Bombyx mori: one gene and its partner. The main gene of each other region encodes a partner of the protein of the gene in region 2 in a complex. Links are inferred from orthologs where the notes say so. Each region holds a gene or a part of one and is shown on either strand. Other genes may lie near its edges.

The links.
Region 1: eIF3c (region 2) and eIF3h share a complex: the UniProt entries of both Drosophila melanogaster proteins name them as parts of the eukaryotic translation initiation factor 3 (eIF-3) complex. The link is inferred for Bombyx mori from reciprocal best matches to the Drosophila melanogaster genes eIF3c and eIF3h.

The regions. Positions count from the first base shown.
Region 1 is NC_085110.1:3,929,131-3,935,315, reverse strand, and holds eIF3h (eukaryotic translation initiation factor 3 subunit H), read right to left. Parts: upstream 3,590-6,185; 5' UTR 3,574-3,589; coding exon 3,496-3,573; intron 2,493-3,495; coding exon 2,275-2,492; intron 2,167-2,274; coding exon 2,007-2,166; intron 1,334-2,006; coding exon 1,129-1,333; intron 524-1,128; coding exon 171-523; 3' UTR 136-170; downstream 1-135. Other genes in the region: alsin, read left to right, coding at 5,788-6,185. UniProt on the Drosophila melanogaster protein: Component of the eukaryotic translation initiation factor 3 (eIF-3) complex, which is involved in protein synthesis of a specialized repertoire of mRNAs and, together with other initiation factors, stimulates binding of mRNA and methionyl-tRNAi to the 40S ribosome.
Region 2 is NC_085122.1:5,757,415-5,763,655, reverse strand, and holds the start of eIF3c (eukaryotic translation initiation factor 3 subunit C), read right to left. Parts: upstream 3,592-6,241; 5' UTR 3,457-3,591; exon of another isoform or gene 3,353-3,456; intron 3,188-3,352; 5' UTR 3,164-3,187; coding exon 3,071-3,163; intron 805-3,070; coding exon 390-804; intron 295-389; coding exon 1-294. Other genes in the region: soluble NSF attachment protein 29, read left to right, coding at 3,794-4,591; gastrula zinc finger protein XlCGF57.1, read right to left, coding at 5,686-6,241. UniProt on the Drosophila melanogaster protein: Component of the eukaryotic translation initiation factor 3 (eIF-3) complex, which is involved in protein synthesis of a specialized repertoire of mRNAs and, together with other initiation factors, stimulates binding of mRNA and methionyl-tRNAi to the 40S ribosome.

The DNA of each region.
Region 1 (6,185 bases), on a different chromosome or scaffold from region 2:
CTAGTTGCAACTGTACAACAACCACATGTCTGGCAGGAGAATGTGAAGATTGAAGATTTGTTATGATTTTTTTTAGTTTATAGTTTTAAAGTATAGTAACATATAAATTAATTGTGAAATTAAACAACAAAACAATATGACCAAATCATTTTTAATACCATACAAAAAAACTAGTTGTTTTGTTTCGCTTCTTTCGCGTTCTGAAGAGCCTGAGTCAAATACAATTTCGCTAGACTCTGACTACAGAACTGGCTTATATGTTGGCTGTATGTGTCTATTTGTCCGGCTACGATCATAGGATTCAACCTTGGCGGGACTGGATGAGGTTTAAAGAGTTTGTTCACGTCTTCTTCTGGCAACGGGGTCTCATCTTTAGCAGCCCTAGCAGCATTTTCCTGTGCCCTCTTCACCATCCAACGATGCTTGTCTTGTTGCTGCCTGACCACCAGCTGTTGGTACCTATTGAACTTGATCGCTTCTTGATTCAGTTCATCAACACGTTCCATGAGACTGCGAAGTTGTCCTGTAATTAAATCAATTTTATTGTTATGATGATAAATACAATATTTTTAAATAAAGTGGGCCCTTAGATGCCCTTAAATTGTAAAATCAGATCAACATTAAAATTCATTAAACAAAATCAATAGTTTTACACAAAATGAAGAGAAAAATGCTATGTAATGTTTTCTACTAAATATTATAACATGAAATAATAAAGAAAAACCTCTCTGTAGATTGTTTATGATGACCAACATATAGATATGAACATTTAAGTAAAGGAAGAAACATAATCTTCAGGCTCTTAAGAGCCACCTCATATTAACATAAGGGAATCGAAGTTTTAATGACATTGGATGGATGTTTATCTGTACCCTTTAAGAGGACACTTTCTTAGTAGAATTAATAAGCAAGATGATAGTGAAAGCTCACCTGCTTAAAATTGTCTATTGCCATTCCTCCACATAGTAAAAATTACAAGTTTAATATAGCAGTTAGGAAACAACTACTGGGAAAAGTAGTAGCTTCAGATTGCAGCAAAGGAATCAACCCATAATTGATGTAGTCAGATGTAGCCTAAATCTTGAAAGCTTTTCTGATAATTGTATACCATAGTAAAATTAAACAAACCTTCGAGAACAGATGCAGTACCCAGATCCAAAAACTTGGATCCTTCCTCTTCAGGTATCATCTCGGTGAGCTCAGAGATCATTATGTTAGTTAATGGAGAGTTCCGGATAACAATTGGCACTTCAATGAATAGATTTTCATAGCCAATCTTCAGGTTACGTAGTGCTTCCGGAGTGTAATCGCCTTCCTTGTACATAGCAATAGCCTGTAAAGTAAGTATTAACCTCAATTTTACATATATTCTTATTCATACATGAACACCCAACTATACATAATGTTTTCACAATATAAATATAAAAAAAAAACAACAATAATTTACTTGCTTGTTGATGAGCATATTGTGAGTCCAAGTTACTATTATTTCTGCACGTAATAATAATGTGTTTAAGGATTGAGAACAGTCTTACATCTTAAGACATGTGTATAAGAACATACATTACCATCCTCTTTATATTTGCTGGGAATCATACATTCATTCTGGTTTAATGGTGAGACATCAAATATATTTTTTTTTATTATTTTTATTGCCTTTGTAGGCAGACGAGCATACGGCCCACCTGATGGTGAGTGGTTACCATCGCCCATGGACTTCAGCAATGCCAAGGGCAGAGCCAAGCCGCTGCCTACCGCTTAATGCACTCATGTTGTGATATCTGCAGGTTGCATGGACCACTTAGATAGTATCCCCATAAAAAACATTTAAAATATCTCAAAAATATAGATTCTGCCATTCACTTAGCATTAACAAGTGATAACTTCACTAAATATACGTAATATAAATAAATAAAATAGCTCAACTTCAGAAATTAGTTCTGTCATAAAGCTCAATTAACAACATTAGCACTTTAAAATGTGTATAGTTATGAGAGCTTAATTACCTGAGGTGTCAAACGATAGGCCTTCAAAGTCAAGAATCCTCTGGCTGATTTCTTTGTATCGTAAATCACAACAACACTCTCCTCAATAGAGGTCTGATAGTGATATTGTGACTCTAATAACGAAAGGCTTAGAAAATTGCCTACATCTGCACTCTGGTACCTGAAGAAAGATATGAGGTATAAGAAAAAAGAAAGTTCTGCTGTTCTAATTTAAAATATTGTATGACATATTTTGACATACTATAAAACAATTTTCAATATTAATTACCATCCAACATGAAAATGATCAACATTGACTCTTCGAAGCCTCCTCATCATGTCCAACTGGTATTCCTCCTCATCCATGGTGTCGTCATGCTTTGGAAATGGGAAGCAGTTGGTAATCTCCAGACGGTTCTCAACGACCAAACCAAGGAGAGCTCCCTGAGCCACCTCCATGTTGCTGCATGATTCTTCATGACAGTGTTTCACTATTTTCATCACTGCCTAAAATAAAAAGCACAAATATATTATAAAAGTGGGAGCAGATCTGTCATTTCAAATGCTTGAGTTAGTTCGATGAGGATTTGTTTGATTACCACATATTAAACTGTTTTACCACTACTTTAAGCATGTTTCAACTAAATAACTTCAGAGAGGATATTATTCAAGGCAAGTTAAAATACACTTTAATGTGTAACAAGTTTAACAAAACAAATTAATACCTACCCATCCCTAATAAATTATTGCTATATTAACTTTCTGTGTATGTGTAGGAAATCAATCAGCTTGCTATTTGCAATCAATCAGAACAAAAACTAATCTCAATCATTTACAGTTAGGAAACTATAAAATTATCAGTAAATAGTAGTATAGTATATAACAAAAAATGACTTCACATATACTATCAAGATCTAAACTTTGTAATGAAGCATAGTTTAAAACACTAATTATATAGTTCAGAGAAAATTTAATGTTTTAGATGTACAGTTAGGTGAGATCATCCTCCTATTTCAATGACCCCCGGGCTCAGGGCAAATGTCCCAAAACAGTCAATGACTCAACAACGTTTATATGTTGTAAACAGAAATAAAAAACCTTTGTAGTCTTTTATTTTCTTTTTATATCGAAAGTTTTTTGGTTCATAGAATCCTATAGAAATTAACATAACGAATTATTCAAGGTTTGGTGAATTGTCAACGTTTGCCCGATTTATTTAAAAAGAAACGAGAGCACAAAATTGAAAACATAACCTATACAATTATCTTTATTATTGCAACGGCAACCTATTTTATTGTAATCTAAGATCTCCTAAAATCATACAACACGAATCATGTTCCAGATCATAATAATCCACCTTAATTGACGATGTTTACTTCTATATATTAATTAAATGGTAAAAATACATGACGTGTCGAGGCACGAACTTTCACAAAGTTTTTAATTTAAAACCTACAGTTGACGTCCGTCTCAGAGAACCTATCTAAACTTTAATTTTAAATTTACTTACCAGTCCATCGCACTGAACATATTGGATCGTCGCTTCATTTTCAGGAGCGCGTCTAGCTGAACCAGCACGGCTCGCCATTTTTAATTCACAAGAGAACGTTTGATTTGATTACATTTTAGTGTAGCTCTCCAAATCGACTATCAATAGCTATCGATAATTGTAATCGATACCTTATTTGCAATCGACACTATACGACAGATTAGCCTTTAAAAATACTACCACGAATATCACATCTCGATTAAACTTAAACACTGTTGGAACTATATACCAGTTTTTACAAATTTCTGGGTTTTAAAAAGAGTAGGTATACGAAGACATACACACGCTAATGAGATTAATATAGTAGTTTTTATATCCCAGTTACAATGCAATAAATAAGTGCCGTAATTTTGCGTATTGTACTATGGATCACAATGATAGTTAATCCTAATGTTTACGGTATAAATGTAAAACAATTAATGCATTATGATCTTGTAAATATTCTTTAACAAATCCATTTTTAGTAATGATAAAAATTAAGGTTTAAAAGATTTTTTATTTATATGATAAATCTCAAATGTTGTTCAATCTTTTTCTATTATCCATGTATAAATTGTATTACATTCTTACAGATTTTGAATTAAAAAAAATACTATAAAGTTAAGTGATATGGCTCGAATTACACTTATAGACGTGAGGTCTCATTATTTGCTTTAATAAGGAAGTGGTATCAATTCGCGTTATCGCTGTATTTATATTTTACCGTTCGTCAATTTGTAATTAATCGTTTATTTATTAGGTTGTACCTTATGGAACATTTTGTTAACTTACGACTTTTGCTTAAGACTCTCGCTCTACAAAGCACAGGTCCGGCCTCGTGTGGAGTACTACTCCGACCTCTGGGCCGGGCTCCCAAAAACCAGCTACTTCCATTTGACTCTATACAGAAGAGAGCCGTTCGGGGGCTCCCAAATACCAGCTTCTTCCATTTGACTCCATACAGAGGAGGGCCGTTCGGATTGTCGATAATCCCATTCTCACGGATCGTTTGGAACCTCTGTGTCTGCGGAGGGACTTGGGTTCACTCTGTTATTTTGCACCGTATGTTCCATGGGGAGTGCTCTAAGGAATTGTTAGACATGAAACCATCATCTCGTTTTTACCATCACACCGCCCGCCACCGGAATAGAGTTCATCCATAATTCCTGGAACTACTGCGGTCATCCACAGGGCGTTTCCAGAGATCTTTTTGCCACGTACCGTCCGGCTTTGGAATAAGCTCCCCTCCACGGTGTTTCCCGACAACTATAACAACGCCTTCTTCAAACGAAGCTTGTGGAGAGTATAAACTGGTTGGCAGCGGCCTGGCTCTGCCCCTGGCTCTATCCATGGACGACAGTAACCACTCACCATCACATGGGCCGTGTGCTCGTCTACCTACAAGGGCAATAAAAAAAACAAAGCTTAGAACTATGTGGTGAAAAAATTTGTTCCTGTTGTGCAGAATTGATTATTTCAAAGCTTAAAACGAATCTTTTACTAATTAATTTTCTATTGTTTTGCTTGGCTCGATGAGTAAATTTTACCCTACAGACACAGCCCACTGAGTTTCTCACCGAATCTTCTCAGTGGGTCGCATTTCCGATCCGGTGGTAGATTCTGCGAAGCACGGCTCTTGCTAGGATTCATGTTAGCAACGTCGTTAGGTTTGAGCCCCTTGAGCTCACCTACTAGTTAAGGTTACGCTGATATGGTCTCACTAGAGGCTAGACCATCAGCTTAGGTAGGAAAAAAAAAGAGATCGTTTAGAGCCTAGCTACCGGGCAATTATAGCAGCTCCGCGGAAGATCTGCCCTATAACGTTACCCACAAAGATTATACAGACAGAAAATACAATAATAACAATTACAGTTTTAATACCTATTAAATGTATTATCTGTATTCACAGCAGTACACATACCTAATTTTATTCGTGAATGCAATTTTGCTTAAAGGTATCGTTACCAGGCCATAAAATCAAAAAAAAAAGGATACAATTACATATCTCAATACATAAATATATGTATGTATGTACATAGTGTAATCAAAATCGTTTTTAATTACTTTATCCATAAATGTTGTGGAAATTTTGCTTGAAGTCATTAATATCTATGATGTTGTGGCAATTCAAAATGTTTTGGCATCATAAACTTATTTTTGATTCTAAAAATACTTTGGCTCTGTGATCTGTTTCGTTCATTAAATTGAGTTTTGTTAATTAAATTAGTGTTAAACAAACACCTACTTATCAATTTAAGAAAACTTGATTAAATAATGAGTCAGCATAAGTTTTGGAAAGGAGTGACTCCCCTAAACGTGCCGACGTCTCAACAAGTACCTGATAAAGTTGTTAAATTGTGCTCATTAGATACAAATTTTATTGTGTTAGGAAACGACCATGGCATCTATTATTGCGAAAATGCAGACGATTCTTTGAATTTTAAAAGGGTGAGCGGTATTTCAGCACTGGACATATCATATCATAATGGCATACTATATATCATAGACACGCACGGGCGCCTATTTAAAACAAATTGTAGCTTTAAAAATAAAGAAGAAATTGTAGTAAAGGAAGACTCTAAATGCTGCCCCCACGGGTTCAGGAGCTCAAGTTACAAAGTCAAATTTCGGACTGTTGTAGCTAATGATTTTGGTCAACTATTTATTAGTAG
Region 2 (6,241 bases):
GTTTATTGATTTTACCAGACCTTTCACGTCTTTCCTCACGTTTCTTTAGTTTAAGTTTTATTTTCTCTTCATCATCCTCTTTCTTGGTAACTTTCTTGATGAATTGTTCACGAATATTGGAGGTACCACGTTCCTCATCATCAGAGCTAAAACTGGAGTCAGAAGAACTAGAAGCCCAATCCATAGAATCTGATGATTCATCATCTTCTGGTGGTGGACGAAGAAGGGGCTCGGGTTTAGGCTTCTCTTTAATTGGTTTTTCTTCATCTTCAGACTCATCTGATGATGATGAATCTATGAACAAAGTTTGTTATTAATTGTTTTGCATTGAATATGAAGTAGTGTTGAAGAATGTAATTTAAGTTTTCGTTTATTTTTAATTTGCTTACCTTTACGTTCATTGTCATCGGGTAGATCAGGATCTTCACGGAACTTGGATATTTCAGCTTCAAAATCTTTAGTGTACTTCCTAAGTTTCTGTCTTAGTGAGGTAAGAGCTTTACTGTTTCCTTTTGATAGAGCTTTTCGGGCTTCACGTTCATTCCATGCTCCTACTACCCAATCGTCCAATTCTACAAGAGCTCTTATGAAGAATCTAGGAGCAACTCCATTCTCCTCCTTTTGAACAACCGGTGCGGCTCGAGTGTATGCCTTTTGGAGCTCTTCGAAAGAAGCTAATGCTGAACTAAAATCCTTGATTTTCCGATGATTGCGTATAGAGTGTATAATTCCTTCTAATTCCTCATAACGCTTCTCTTTCATTGAGCGCACAACTCGCTTTGTTTCTTCCTCATCGTCACTAAACTGTTGCCAATATAAAGAATTATAATTAATTGTACTTTTCTTGTTCAATATTCTTCTACAGTTGACTGAATTATTAAATAAAATTTGAAAAAATTATTATTCTAAGCTTATAATTCTAAAGATGTAAAATAGACATGTATTAATTTGTTTGAAATTGCCACCAACTAAATCAACGATCTTGAAAAATTTTTGTACCACAGACCAAACAAATTTTATGTAATAAGGCGAACCTATTCATGCTTAGTCGATTTTGAAAGTACTTCAGAACGAGAACTCTAGTAAAATAATGTAATAGCCCTTAATATAGGAAGTCCGCTGAGCGGACGCGGCACTGTTGCCGCCACTGGCCGCGTCTGTTTGAAGTCCTTTGAGCGGACGGGTCCCTGTTGATAGATAAATGTGATTTGACATTTCACGTATCTGTGGAGTCCGCTCAGAGGACACCGCACTGGGGAGAGGTTAATGTATCACAATAGAACATTAACTAGAGTTACAACCATGCTCGGTAAGAGCTGTTGTTAGTAAGCTAGTGTTAATAAGAAATAACTATCCAGTTGATTTTATTAACGCAATATTATAATGGAAGAAATTTTCAATACTCGAATAATCATCATTTGAAGACCAAAACTAAGACATGTAAAACATGCATGCCGTGGTAGCGCAGGCTCTTCTTACACAAGTATACGCAACCTTCCTGTTGTTCACTTATCCTGAGTGCATACCTCAAAATAGAGGCAATTTACTGAAATGACTTGGGACTATAATAATATTGTGAATTGTAATTATAATCTTGTAGAATTTTCCCACAATGGCGCACTTTTAAGATTTTTAATCTGTTAACAATATACAATATTAAAAGATGACAACAAAAAAAAAATTAGCAAAAAAACACAGCAACTCTTATCTCCCAATCAATTTATAACTTTTAGTCTGATCATTTTCTTTTTAAAATTTGAAGCATATGTTTAATGTTTATTACAATTAACATTAGATATGTGTCGTTCGCCAACGAACGAACCAAACGACCCGGGTTTCAAAATCCGCGCGAACATTTCAAAAAATATGAGTCGTTCACTAGATTGACCCGTTTAACAAAACCTACGAATCAGAAGAAAAGAACCATGCAACAGTCATTCGGGTCATTTCGGGTTGCCGGGTCTCGCCCCGCGCCCGTCTCGGTTAGACGTTCGCTGTCGCATAATGACGCATAACGTATTTGAATTTTTTTTATCTCACCTAAACAATCGAACTATAACAGTTCCTTTAAACTGTTATTCAATACTAAACTTCATTCAGCCAGTGACCTGATAATATTAATCACATCATAAATTGGTGTGATTAACGGAAATCCAAACGTTTGACTGAACGGGTCGAACGAACCGGATCATTTTGTCAACAGGTCAGTATTGATCTGATTCTCTAAAATTGATTGAACAACACATATCTAATTCACATCACTGTACTATTCCGGAATCAAAGCATCTTGTTATACAAGTCAAGACAAATTAATAACAAATTGATATGCCAATCACTAGATGCACTTATTAAACTCATAATTGAAATAAATAGAAGTTTTAGTGGCTTACTATTGTTACTATTAAATTATTTATCCATGTATATTATTATATTACTCCAAATTATCTTTCAAGCAGTATGCCAGTTGACCAACAAGTCTACTAAGAGTTTAGGAACGAAAGAGTAGCACGAGCAACCCTTTGTCCTGCCAAGATGTAACTTGTGGGATTTTTTCAGATATTTTAAATTTAACATGGGTTGAATCCTATGTCATACCTTATTTATTATGAATTAAAAATGTTTTAATAATATTATACCATATTTTACAAAGATGACTGAATACAAGAAATAAAATTTATAATTAAAATAATTTCACAATCATTACAAAATATGGCTGTTCCCTTTGCCCATTCAATTTTTTGGACAAGTCGTTAGAAAGCTGTAAGCTGGCACAATAGCAGATTGCGAGCAGAGCAGAAATACATTATTGATCGCTACCCCCTCTATTAGCTACTGATAGTGGACATTTAGGAAAGAATTTAAAGGATCACATTTTTCAAAACTTCTAAAAGAGTTACAAAATTTTGCTAATTGCATTGCTGATTACCGAAAAAAAGTTTCATATATCTTGTCATCCTACATGAGATTAATGTTAGTCTCCCTTGGTAACTTAAAAAACTATTTATCTTTTTTTAAACTATAAATTGAAAATTTTGTTTCCTTGATTCCCAATTATTTATTTTAAATTTACCGTGTAAACTGGCGCGGGGGCGCGTACTACTGGCTCGTCCTCGCTGCTGCTCTCTGACTCCGAGTCCGTCCCAGTTGCAAAGAAACGACTCATATTTACAAGAGTTAGTTAATGCTTCTGTAAAAGAAAACTTCGTTAATTCCAAATGAACATTATTTGACTCCAATGGTAATTTATTTTCTTAAATATCTTAAATAAACATCAAAATTAGTAATAAATAGTTGACTTGTCCTCGCGTTGAGGTTATAAATTAGAACTGTTTAACATTTTTACAATACTTACTGTCTTATATTAAAAACAGAGTAGGTATTCAGTTTTCAAGCAATCCTCTGATGATAGACTTAATAAATTTGTAGCGAATAGAAAGAAAGCTCTCAAATACAGACCTTGCCCACGACTCACTTCATACGTCAAACGCATCAAAGTTGATCAAAGAGCTAAACTTTGTTTCAATTGTTCAATTGGAAAGGCAAAGGGAACGTGGCATATTGACTTTTTTTGTTCAATTAGACAGACACTTAAAAAAATCGTTTTATTTGGCTACATCCCTTTGCTCGTCGTATCAGATAAATTAAACCTAAAATAAACATTTATGGTACATACCTACCATAATAATTGTGTATTATCTGTGCTTACCACCCCCATAATTTCAAGTGCATTCTTTTTGAACATCACCAATAAAGTAACGAGAACACACCTACGTAGTAAATTACATTTTAAGCAATGTCTGGGCATAAATATTTCACAAATCCGAACAACCTATTCGAAAATGACGACGTCGATGATAACGAATTTGTAGATCGCTTCCGGTCAAGAATACCTCAAACACAGCAAGCAAATAAGCCTTATGGAGGTCATATTGCAGAACTGGAACGTCAACGCCAAGCTATGATCCAAACACAAAGAGAAATCGAACAACGGACAATAGATTCATCAACGAGAAGTATCGGATTGCTTCGTGATTCTGAACAAATTGGTATTGCAACGGCCGAAGAGCTTTCCCGACAACGTGAACAGCTACAGAACACAGACAGGCGACTTGATGAGATTAACACCAATTTAAACTATAGTCAAAAACATTTAAATGGTATAAAGTCTGTATTTTATGGTCTGAAGAATTATATTTCCGGAAAAAGTGATCAAACACCATCTAAAAGTCCAGCGACCTCGAATGTACGTAATGCTGGTACAAGTAGTAGCAGGCTTGATGAAACCCTAGATAATATGTCTAGGAACGTTGAAGATCGCTTTGAGAGTCATCCCTCAGCACGCCTACATGGTTTGTCTCAAGAAAGCGCTAAGAGTCCTGAAACAGAAAACGAGAGAGTAAATAATATACTTGATTCGAACTTGGATGAAATGGTGCATGCTATATCCCGGCTCAAACATCTAGGAGTTGCACTTGGTGAAGAGATAGAACAGCAAAACAACCTCGTGGATACTATTCAAGACAAAGTTGAGATTGCAGATATCAAGATTGGTAAACAAAATAAACAAATGAATAAACTACTTGGGAAATAGCAATAATTATAGCAAATTAAAGATTTATTTTAAACAACAACTAAAAGGGTCTATTAATCTATTAAATGTATCTGTTTATAAAGATTTAGCATGTTTTTAATGTGAGTGGTTTGCAAAATTCAGTAGTGTAATCATTTTGTGTGATAAGGAATACTAATGTATGGCAAAGTTTGATAAGATTATTTTTTATTTGAATCACATGACCAGCAGCAATTTGATAAACAACATGGTGTAAAAAGGGGATTTCATAGTAAAGGAAAAATCCATATATAATAAACCTACTAGTAATGTAAATTGTCTGAAAGGCTTCTTACTGCATACTAATGCTCTATACATTCGTCACCACTGCTGAGCTGACTGGCATTTTTATAAAGCTTCATAGTATGTAATAATGGTTCTTGTGTGATACTGTCCATTGTTAGCTGATCATGTACACTTAGTTACATCTAATAAAATGGTGTATGATTCATATTATTTAGGTAAACCTTTTCTGTATCATATTCGATCATCATAACCTTCATTCATTCTTCATAACTTTATTGTGCACAGTATATAGTAAAAAAAATTATCTTGTAATCTTTAAATAAATGTGTTATCTTTTTGGCTAGCAACTTATCATGACAAATTTCTTCTATTTGTTTCTAATTGTTGTTCATGCAATTAGAGACAGTTACAGTATAATAGCTAGGTTTCACTATTTTAAGATAAAGTTTTAAGTACACTTAAATATATATAAATAAGACTTGTGTGCAAATAAAACAATATTAGGGCAAAACAACCAATATAAGGTGAGTACTTACTTTAAGTACCTATGTTCTATTAACTAATCCAAATTTTAAATGGGTGAAAGTTCCAGACACCTCATCATGAATTATGTTCTTGCATCATAAAGTAAGGTACATACATACTAATATTGTTATCAATGAGTTAATGTTTGCCATTAACAATAATTTCATTTATATCCAAGAACCTAGCGATAAGTGTAAACAGTCATTATTATTATATATACTTATTTTATATTGTTTCCATTAATAAATATATTTCAAATCACAAATGCTTTATTTTCTTTAGTTTTTTAAATTCTAGATAGTAATTTACATATTTGCATCAAATACTTGTTCGAAGAAAGTATTATCAACAACAGTTTCCAATATCATGTCATTGGCATCAACATTATGAGTTTTTATATGTTTTTGAAGAACTCTTTTATTTGACAGTTTCTTCCCGCATATATTGCAATGGAGCTCCACAGTGGCATGAGATTCCATATGCATTTTTAAGCCTGAGGCTGTTGCAAAACCTTTGAAACAAGTTGTGCATTTGTGCTGTCTCTCTGTCGTGTGAGTGTGTGCAAAATGCACCAACAATGAATGTTTGGTGGCAAAGCTTCTTTCACAGTCTTTATTGGAACATTTAAATGGTTTTGGTCTCTGTTGGCCAGTATGAACTATGCTATGTTCCCGTAAATAAATAGCTCTGGTGTAAGCTTTAGGGCAACTAGGGCAAGCAAACTGTTTTACTCCAGTATGACTTTTCATGTGCATGACTAGAGTTGATTTTGCTGTAAATCGTTTTCCACATGTAACACATACAAACAGTTTACTGTTGCTCGAATGAGCGACTCGAAAGTGCTCTTTCAATGACTGCCTT